2 linked regions of the Arabidopsis thaliana genome follow. The protein of the gene in region 1 interacts with the protein of each later gene in a pairwise test. Each region holds a gene or a part of one and is shown on either strand. Other genes may lie near its edges. The genes, in order: AT1G20910 and AT1G55950.

Region 1 (6,965 bases):
TTATTGATTGAATTAGTTCTAACTATTTTAGGATGATTTGTTTTTTTTTTACAACTGATATCATGGAACAAATTGCAGATTAATTTCACAAGTCACAATCTACAGTTCTTAGCTAAATATTATAGTGATCAGATGTCTCTTAGTAAAAAACGTTTTAGCTTTGCCAAAATATATAAAATATAAATTAGAATCAATACATATACTTGGAATCATATGACTTTTTTTTGGGGGCTTGGAGAAAGAGCATTGTAGTTGTAAATATTATCAAATTCCCATGCGGTCATGTCATGTGCCTTACATGCAATTGAGCTACACCAAGTTGAGAATCAGCAATAAAAAACCTTTTTTGATCACTGTGAAGTGTGAACCTTTTTGCATGATTAAAGAGAAAGAAAACAAGTTGAGAATAATGTTTCTTGTCTTAATACTGCAGTATTTTCTGATGACTCAAAAACTAGAGTGAGCTTCAAAACTTTTGAACCTTAAATTTTCGTCATGAATTGATGATACATATATATATATATATATAAACAAGTAATGAACCTTTTTTTCTTTTCTAAATCATATATTCCCGATCATGAACTTTTTAGATTCAGGGAAATGTCAATAAGTTTTTTGCTGTTTTCGTTTTCCCTTTAATAATATGCACCACCAATATATGCATACTTTCACTTTCACTTTTTGAAAACAAATCATCTCAGGAGAACTTTTGAAAACCGAAACGCATGAGAACCTAAAAGTATACTATTGGAAGTAGAACTAGTAGATGGGATAGGCAAATCTATTCATCTCTATTAAAAAAATATGTATAAGAAAAGCATAACATTCCGATTTTAGATCAAAATCATCATTGTTGGTTGCATCCTAAATGTCTTTGGAGCAGTTTCTCCTACTAATCTCAAATTATACAAAAGAGAAATATTACAGTAAGATCAAATGTTTGTTGCATGTTCCTAACTTCAGTCTTCAGATTCAAATCACAGTTACAAAACTGCTTCAGCCGCCTAACAATTTGGTTCTGAAACATATGAATTCCTAGAAGAAACCACGAACAACTGACCAGCTCTCTTGAAATCCATTACTGCTCAAACGGAACTCGTATGAACAACCGTCCATGCATGCTCATGACCGCGGATGTGTGAAGCGGATCAATTCTTGCTGATAAGTCAACAATCTGGTGAAAACATATCAAAATGACAGGAAGGTTCTCAGTCTCTGTATCAGTTCAGTTAATGGACATATCTGGAATATAGAAGAAAGTTTTACCTTTTTGAAGGGTGTAATCCCCCAAGGATTGTCAAGCTGCTCTGGCTGGCCTGTTATAACCACCTTTCCCGCAGGATCTGATTGAATTCGAACCTGAGAAAAGACAACGTATGTTCAGTAATTGGAACTATGTACTGATTTTACCAGAAAATACTTATTGCCTACAACACTGTGTACTGAGACTATGAAACTAAAGCCAACGGATCTGCTTTGGTAACCTACCAAATCGCTTTGTGCTTGCTTTGTATTGTCACAGTAATATGCATTCAAACAAAATTAAAAGACAAGGACTTATCAAGTAGCCTTCAGAGACAGGGTTACAAAGGAGTGCTCACCTCTTTGCGAAGAAGTCCAGGTACCAAGGCAAATATCTCGAAGGAATCCTTCTGTGAATTCAAGAAAAAGGAAAACAGATTTGGTAAGAATTCCATATTGGAAACAAACATCCAGTTTGCAAGTTTTTGGCGTTTCTTTAGCCGTTGGCAGAAGTTACTCACAGATTCTTTGACATTTATCTTCACCCAGTCAGCAACGGGTCCAACATCAACAACCTCAGCAGCCAACCTATCATGACAAAAAGGAAACCTTAACGTTAATCTATAGTAATATGTTCAGGTCCAGAAAATGCTACGTTTTCATCTCATTACTGCTAAGAGGCATTGAAAGAAGAACCAAAAAACTAATATAACTATCTTAGAATTGCAAATAAGAAGGAGAGATCAGCTTTCCGTAACTGTTTGTCAGCTTCATTTGTAACAACATGGTCCATGCTAGTTTGTTGTTTGTGTTTTTGCAGCCCTGAAAAAACCGTTTAAAACATAACGTTAAGCAACCCTCGTTGACAAAATAGCAAAGCCTTGAGAACTATTTTGTACCAATGCTTTTGAGTTTCTTGTGCTTTGGGGTGGAAATTAAGCCCTTATCCTGAAACAAAAGGAGAACATCATTTTACTTCCGAAATAAAAAACGACAAAAGAAATAAAAAGTCTTCTTCTTTCTACATGTGAGTCAGATTCCTTGGTGCATGAAAAAATTCTGCATAATGGAATCACAAAGTGCAGTAAGATTTGAAGTGAAACCTTAACAGCAGGCGCAGTAACCTCTCCAGATCCAACAAGGCGCTGCGCATGCCAACCTTGCATAGCACGAGCTGCAGAATCTCTTCGTGCCCTGCCTGACCCTGAACCTTGATGGCTACTTGGCTACAGCAAAGTCCTTGTATCAGGGAAGAAAAAAATATGGAGAAGGGAAAAAAAGGGAGGCACATGAATTTTCGTTTAGGTTTTCTGCAACTTATATGGTAATTTACTGGGTTATGCACACGGATTTCTTATGGCTTTTGTATCGAACACAAAATGGCTACAGCTTTCTTCAGTCAGATTGCAGATAGTTGGGTTTAAAAGGTTTAGCTGGTATTACATAAATGCTGAAAAATAACTCTTATGCTATCATTTCTTCAGTATCAACGACATTTAATCACAGTACATGAAACCTTCCCACAATAAATTGACAAGTAGATACTCTTCATTAATTTTACGGTGCTAGATCGATCTTCATCCAAACTTTCCATATCTACCATTATTTCTATATATTATTCAGTAGTGTCTAAAATCCAAAAGCCATTTTTTTAGGGGAAATTCATACCTCTTTCTCGACACTGGAAGACAGAATCAATGTTGAACCAGGAAGGTTAAGCTCACCATTATTCCTTAAACACTTTTCGTACTCCAAAAGTGCCTGCAATTGAAGCAAAGATATAGATCATATGTACCTGTATCTATATGATAAGATAGAAAGAAAACAAGCAGTGCATTCAAACTTCGAAGTGACAAAAGAATAGTCCAAAATAAAGAGCTACCTCAGCAAGACAAAGAATTAAACTAACTATTATAACACACCATACTAAGAAGAAGCACAAGGAGAATTGTCTGAAGTGGATAAGTAAAAATGAAGACAGGATAAATATACGATACTTATGCACAAAAACAAACTCACCTTCTCATAGAAATTGCGGAATGTGTAGGAGACTGTTGTGCATGTCCTGAATAAAGATAGTTTAACCAAATGTGGAAAAAGATTAGCATTATGAAAAATTGGTAAAGACTAACGGAGAGTCTAAGGAAAATATCAGCCATACTTGGGAGGATTGAAGGATTCTCCAACTTGCCGCCACAGCTTATTTGTGGTGACCTACATTACCATGAAAAAACAAAGGAATCTTAAAGACCATAAGTCCAGCAGAAGATTAAGAAAACATTGAATATATAATTCCAAATATAGCTAACAACAGTAAAATAAATCAGTTTCCCAAGAAAATATCGAACATTCTTTAATGTTTGATATGTTCGCTTAAAGTCATAAATCTTCTCTGAAAGCCACATCGTTATAGATACTCTTATCATAAATTAGCTTACGGATTCAATAGTTATACCCTATATACAGTTCATATGCCATCCACAATTCAAACAATAAAATGTAGGTGATAATCATACGGGCCAACTTAAATAACCAAGACTTATAAACTGACGAACTAAAAACGATATGGTTTTGGATAATTACCACTTCATAGCCACCTAGGTTCACGACTGCTCGCCAAAGCCTACATTGGATGCAAAAGTGAGGCACTGATTAACCAGATATATGGGTTTATTAAGAACAAAAGCACCACTTTTCCAACAACTCACTTGAGAATGTTTAAAGGCTGTCCATAAAACTTAGGAGGTTTAAATTCCAGGAAACTCTCTTTGTAAAAGGCCTCCACTTCTCTTAGAAACGCCACTTGTTCTACCGGTGTCCCTGCTTCATCAGTTCCCTGTGCCTGTAGAGAAAGGTGAACCAGTAAGTGAACAATCACCACATAATTTTCGACCACAAAACAGTGAAATCCAATCCTGAGAAAACAAAAAGACACAGGCTTTTTGAGCCAAATTGAAAGAAACATAGCCTAGTACCTCAGAATCCAGCAGCCAAGTCTTCCTCTTTTTGGCATTCTCACCTTCAGTCTTAGGACTCAACATTTGCACCCTACGAGTCTTCCTTTCAGAGTGGTCAACAACTCCAACAGCACCACCATTCATGCCATGACCATTATTAGCCTGACCATCTCCAAGAAGAAGGGGCTGCGGGATTTCACTAGGGTTGTGATCATTTTCTGGCTCCAAAGGTTCTTCCTCTAAATACTTTGTCTCAACAAGGGCACCAAAAGTCACATCTTGCTCTTGCATTTCGGTATCCACCATCTTAAGCTTCGATTTCTGTTGTGGAGTAGTCAGTCACAGCAAGACAAGGACAAAAGAACAAATCCAGAAGAAAAAAACGAAGAAGATAAAAAAACTGTATATAACTAACTATTGGTGATTCCAGATTAAACAAAAAGGAATTGTCTTTCTTCTCCGCCTGGAAACTATAGCTTCTCTCTCTCTCTCTCTTCTATCTCTAAACGCAATTAAGAATTGGAGCAAACTCACTCACTCTATTACTACAAAACCTCATCCTAATCAAAACTACCACAGATAAACAAGCCGAGAAGACCTTTCAGCTTCCATAGAATACAGAGAGCAGCAAAAAAAAACATATGCTTACCAGTTCTGCAGCGACGGCGACGGCGAGTAAAGGTTGGTATGAGAACGCAGGGACTCCGACGGCGCGCTAGGGTTTAGCAGCCGGAGAAATTGAAAGAAGCTGGAGGAAGAAGAAGAAGAAGGAGATACAGAGAGAGAGCTGAAAAAGGAGAGACAATTCGAAAGAGGAGAGACAATCTTATGTTAATGGAGGAAGGTATTAGTAAAAAAGATGGGATGGGGGATGTTATGTGGTTTTTAACTTTAATTTGTTTTACACTCAAAAAGTAAACAATTTCTTTTCTTCTTTTTGTATCTATTAGTCTTTTTAGACTTTCTTAATTTTTGGTAAATATAGGATTTGTAACCTTTTATTGTTGTTGAATGTTGGGATTTCTACTATATGTAATAACCACGAAAGATAAACATTGAAAAAGTTTTTTTTTTTTTTTTGCCAAAGGGTGTTATTATATATATGAAACATTGTACAAAACATATATACATAGAAGAAAGGAGCTATATGAAATTTAGGTTTACGAAATTACGACAACGATTACGGAGGAAACAAAGAAGATCGAAATTAGTATAAATACGATACAAAAAATATTAAAAAACTTAGGTTTATAGAAAAGTTTATGAATTAATTTTATATTTTTAACAAGAAGTTCAAGATGATAATTAAAATATATGATGTTGAGACTTGGAAATAAAATTTAGGTTTCATGATTTGGAGTTAAGATGTGAAAACTATATCATAATGGAAATATCTATATATACATGTTTGGAGGGGATTTTTGAAGATAATGTTGAAGATTTGAGCCATAATTCAACAATTAATTCAAATGGGTGGGTTTTACTCGGCTTAACTCTGTTCAGATCCTGGATAACATGTTTAATTCAGTTCTGATCTTGGATAACATTAGTTTTTGGAAAAGTTACCTAAAAACTAATAATTAAAAACGAAAATTAATGATTTAATTACCAAATTTAATATAAACAATATCTCTAAACTAACCATATTTCTTATTTACCTTAACTAATTTCCTAAAATATTTCTACCTAATTTAAACATAAATATATAATTCTTCTTTCAATTTTATTTGATCTTATACTTTATTTATTTTGAATTTATATAAAATATATATAGTTAATAAAATATTATATTTTTTTCTGAATATGATGTAATTCAAATTTTTTAAAACGGACATATATTATTCAACCTATGAAGAAATAATATGTGTACAATGTCCAACATCGCTTAGAAAAATTGGACAATGGTTCAGACCCATATTATAAAAGGACCAAAATGATTCTGATTATGAATGAGCATGAAGCTTGATTTATCAGGCGTCCAAAATTAAAATAGTTATCCGATTTTACTCGGATTTTTTATTTTAAAGAATTAAAACTTTAAAATGTTTCAAAAAATTATAAATATTATAACTTTATCAAATGTTAAATATTATAATTTTAAAAACTTTTTATAAAGTTTATCTTTAAAAAATGCTTTAAATATTTATAATTTTAAAACTTATAAAGTTTTAAAAATTATAAATTGAATTTTACAAGAAATTTAAACATTACAAATATAGAAAAAATATATTAATACGAGATGATATATTACAGGAAAAATCTTAAAAATTGGGTCGATATTGTATTTTTTTAAGTTTCAAATTTTATAATATTGAAATTTATAAGAAAATGACAAAATTATGTTTAATTTCACGGGACTGGATTATATGGTAGGACGGGTTTGGGTGGATAATAATTACGATTTTAGAATGTTCTATATCGCTTAAAAAAATTGGACAATGGTCAAGAGCCATACTATAAAAAGGACCAAAATGATTTCGATTACGAATGAGCATGAAACTTGATTTATGAGGTGTCCAAAATTAAAATGGTTTGTTTTACTAGGGTTATTTATTTTAAAAAATTGAAACTTTAAAAAGTTTAAAAAATTATAAATTAAATATTACAAGAAATTTAAACAATATAAAAGATATTAATACGGGACGATATACTGCGAGAGAAATCTTAGATATAACACTCAAAATTCAATGATGAAGTTTGGGTCAATATTAATCTTTTTTGAAGTTTCTAATTTTATAAATATTTAAAATTTATAATAAAATGACA
Region 2 (3,263 bases), about 14 Mb from region 1:
ACATGTTATTCACAAAAGCAACGATCGCATTTCATACTCTGCTAAACGCTGCAAACCCAAAGTAGTAACTTACTTTCAAAAGTGTCTTTTTAGTCTTTTATTATTCTGATTACTGAGTATCCTTTTGGCTCTATTATTAGGATGGCGGTGGTCCTATGAAGTACCTAAGTGTCACGGTCTTCGAGGGTTTCTCTGCAGAGATTGTGAGGGACTTTTACATGGACAATGATTATAGGAAACTATGGGATAAGACTGTGGTTGAGCATGAGCAGTTGCAGGTTGATAGTAATACTGGAATTGAGATTGGTCGCACCATTAAAAAGTTTCCCTTGTTGACATCGAGAGAGTACGTTCTAGCTTGGAGATTGTGGCAAGGAAAGGAGAAGAAGTTCTACTGTTTCACAAAGGTCAAATTCAACCAAAAAACCTCTCTCTCCCTCTATCTGTCGCAATTTGTTGTTGCTTCTTTACTTATCATTTTGCTCTTTGGTTACTATTAGGAATGTGATCACAATATGGTACCACAACAGAGGAAGTATGTACGTGTAAGTTACTTTAGATCTGGTTGGCGAATCAGGCAAGGCAAGTGGATTCACCTAAAAGTTCTAGTCAGTGTTGTTTGAATACCATATAACCAGATATTGATTGATCATGGTGAACACGGTCCTTAGTTTCTTTTTTCAGTTTCTGTTGTCAGCATTCTTTCTACCTTTGATACTTATCTGACTGATACCTTTGACACACTTGCTGCAGTTCCCGGTAGAAATGCGTGTGAGATCAAAATGTTTCACCAGGAGAATGCTGGGTTAAATGTTGAGATGGCCAAGCTCGCCTTCTCAAAAGGCATATGGAGTTACGTTTGTAAGATGGAAAACGCTCTTTGTAAATACATAGCAACCAGTCATAGAACCCAAGGACCCATTCTATCTGCTGTCACCTTAATGAAAGAGGTGAGATTCATATGAAAATTCTGTTCTGTAAAATGGTATTTAGTGTCCTGAAAATATGCTTAAAGCAACCGGTTGGGTTGGGTCTTCACTGACATTGATTGTTGTATCTTCAGGTTCCATCAGAGTTAGAAACTGGGACAGATAATGTCACAGGCTCCATGGAAACAAGTAGTGGTGAAGGAGTGTTGAGTCATGTTGTAGCCGCCAAACAGAAGAAAAAAATGAGAAAGCCATCAACGAAACTGATAGCAAAAGGTCTAGTACTTGTGGGCGGTGCGATCTGCTTGTCCCGTGGTCCCTCAGCCTTAGGTGCTAAAGTCGCATTGGCTTACCTCTTGACGAAGCTGAACAAACGTGGAACTTCTCTGAATCAGACCACCCAGACCACCACCATTTAAGTAAATTTCTCCTGAACTCTGGTAGCTTTTGGTATCAAATTGTTGTACCACAGTAGTACTACCACTAGCGTATACAAAATGCAAGTCGGTGTTGATATGAATGTAAAAGCATACATTATAAACATACAAGCCTAAAGGTTATCATTCTTGTAATTGTATGTACTATGTAAGGTCTTTATCCCAATCAATCTTTACTTGATTCTTGAGTCACTACAAATTGTTCGATTGTAGTTGATATTGGGACAGATGAACATTAGTGACATTAAAGTTGAGACTAAAGAGAAAGCTTATGAGGTCTACTTTTAGCCCTTCTTTTTGGAAGTTGTAGCAACTATAGCTCAACCCTAGATGCTAAGCGGCGAGTGAAGAGTCCAACACCACAATAAATAGAAGACCTTTACTATGATATTATCTCATTACAAAACTGAAACGTTTTTTTATCTTGACAACAAAAGGAAAAAAAATGAAAAGAATAACAAAACTTTTGGCCTCCCACTCTCTCAAAAGTTTGATGGCCAAGAAAAACAAGCGTTCCCAACAGAAGAACAAGTGTCTCAAACCGGAGAAAGATCCATCGACGGTGAAGAGATTGTTGGAAGATCCGCCGAGGAAGAAAAGATATCTACAACCATTGGAAAATCCACCGACGGAATCTTATGGCGACGACGAGAAAATGGAGACTGAGGAAGAAGGAGAAAAATATCTTGGTAAGAATCTTCCGGCTTCTGCTTTTATCATCGTTGCTGCTGAAAGGCATGACTCCGATTCATATTCTGAAACCGAGCTGGAGAAGAAGATTTGCGGTTCCGTTGTTGTAGCCAAGATGAATGATGATAAGATGGTGTCAACAGATACCAAAAAGAAGTATTTTCAAAGAATATTGAGTGATGATGATAAGATCGTCTTGTTGCAAGGCATGGTTGATTTCCAGAATGATAAAGGGACGATTTCTTATGATGATATGACTGGTTTTATTGATACGGTGAAGAACATCATTAGCTTTCAAGCGAATAGTCGTCAATTCACTACCAAAATCCGTCGTTTGAAAGACAAGTTTGTACAGAAAAGGAACAAAGGTGTAGATGAGAACTCTCTAGCAAATGTTGAAATATATGAAATCTGAATACTTGTGGCTAAAGACAAGATTTTTGATGAGGTCAACTCGATGATCACTGGAGCAAATTAAACAAGTCTGAATTTAGAATTGTAATGCATCCTTTTTCATTTTCATCCCTTATGACTCTGTTTTTTCTATTTGGTTCTTTTTTTTTTGGTTTTTGATATTTGGATTTTGTTGCTAAAAACATTATGAAAGAACGGCAGATTAGATTTTAATGCATACAATTGTGTTTAAATTGTGGTCAAGGTTTATGGTATAAATTTGGTAAAAATACTCTCATTTTGGTTAGGCTCAATGAGTCATTTTGTTGCCAAGTTTAAAGATTACATGGTTCTTTCAAGCTGATTTCAACACTCATCAATGTCTAAGAGCATTGGCCTCAAAATCCGCAGAGCCAAGAAGAAGAAAAAGAAAAATCATAAAAACAGAGACCGTAGAGTGGCAGCGAAGAAGAATAAGAACAAAGATGCACCTCATGAAACCGATGCAAGTACAATTGACAAAGCTGCAACTAGTAACTTCACAAACCGGACATTATTCTTTGTTGCTGCTTGAATTTGTTCTACTAATTTGTTGTTTCTCCTTATTTGCAAGGTACATCCGACATGCATGAACATGATGATGATGGAACTGGTGACTACTCAAACCAGCTTTAACTCAATTTTTGGCTCTGCCACCACAAACAAAGATATGTAAGTAAAGCTAAAGCTGGGACAAACTCCTATTATCGGAAAATGGGTAGAAAAACCCCCACCTTTCCTCCAAACATATTAAAAACTCTCAACTTTTTTTTTT

Evidence for each region.
Region 2: the proteins of AT1G20910 (region 1) and AT1G55950 interact in binary tests that used the Arabidopsis thaliana proteins (3 or more experiments, as listed by UniProt).

Annotation. Positions count from the first base shown.
Region 1 is NC_003070.9:7,276,131-7,283,095, forward strand, and holds AT1G20910 (ARID/BRIGHT DNA-binding domain-containing protein), read right to left. Parts: upstream 5,107-6,965; 5' UTR 4,849-5,106; intron 4,521-4,848; 5' UTR 4,506-4,520; coding exon 4,218-4,505; intron 4,085-4,217; coding exon 3,951-4,084; intron 3,866-3,950; coding exon 3,826-3,865; intron 3,457-3,825; coding exon 3,404-3,456; intron 3,308-3,403; coding exon 3,262-3,307; intron 3,004-3,261; coding exon 2,911-3,003; intron 2,469-2,910; coding exon 2,346-2,468; intron 2,191-2,345; coding exon 2,142-2,190; intron 2,065-2,141; coding exon 2,001-2,064; intron 1,831-2,000; coding exon 1,764-1,830; intron 1,653-1,763; coding exon 1,602-1,652; intron 1,360-1,601; coding exon 1,267-1,359; coding exon of another isoform or gene 1,189-1,266; exon of another isoform or gene 1,175-1,188; coding exon 1,079-1,174; 3' UTR 813-1,078; downstream 1-812.
Region 2 is NC_003070.9:20,926,047-20,929,309, reverse strand, and holds AT1G55950 (DNA-binding storekeeper protein-related transcriptional regulator), read left to right. Parts: upstream 1-1,764; 5' UTR 1,765-1,811; coding exon 1,812-2,471; 3' UTR 2,472-2,593; downstream 2,594-3,263. Other genes in the region: AT1G55960 (Polyketide cyclase/dehydrase and lipid transport superfamily protein), read left to right, coding at 1-61, 141-407, 501-582, 754-950, 1,064-1,348.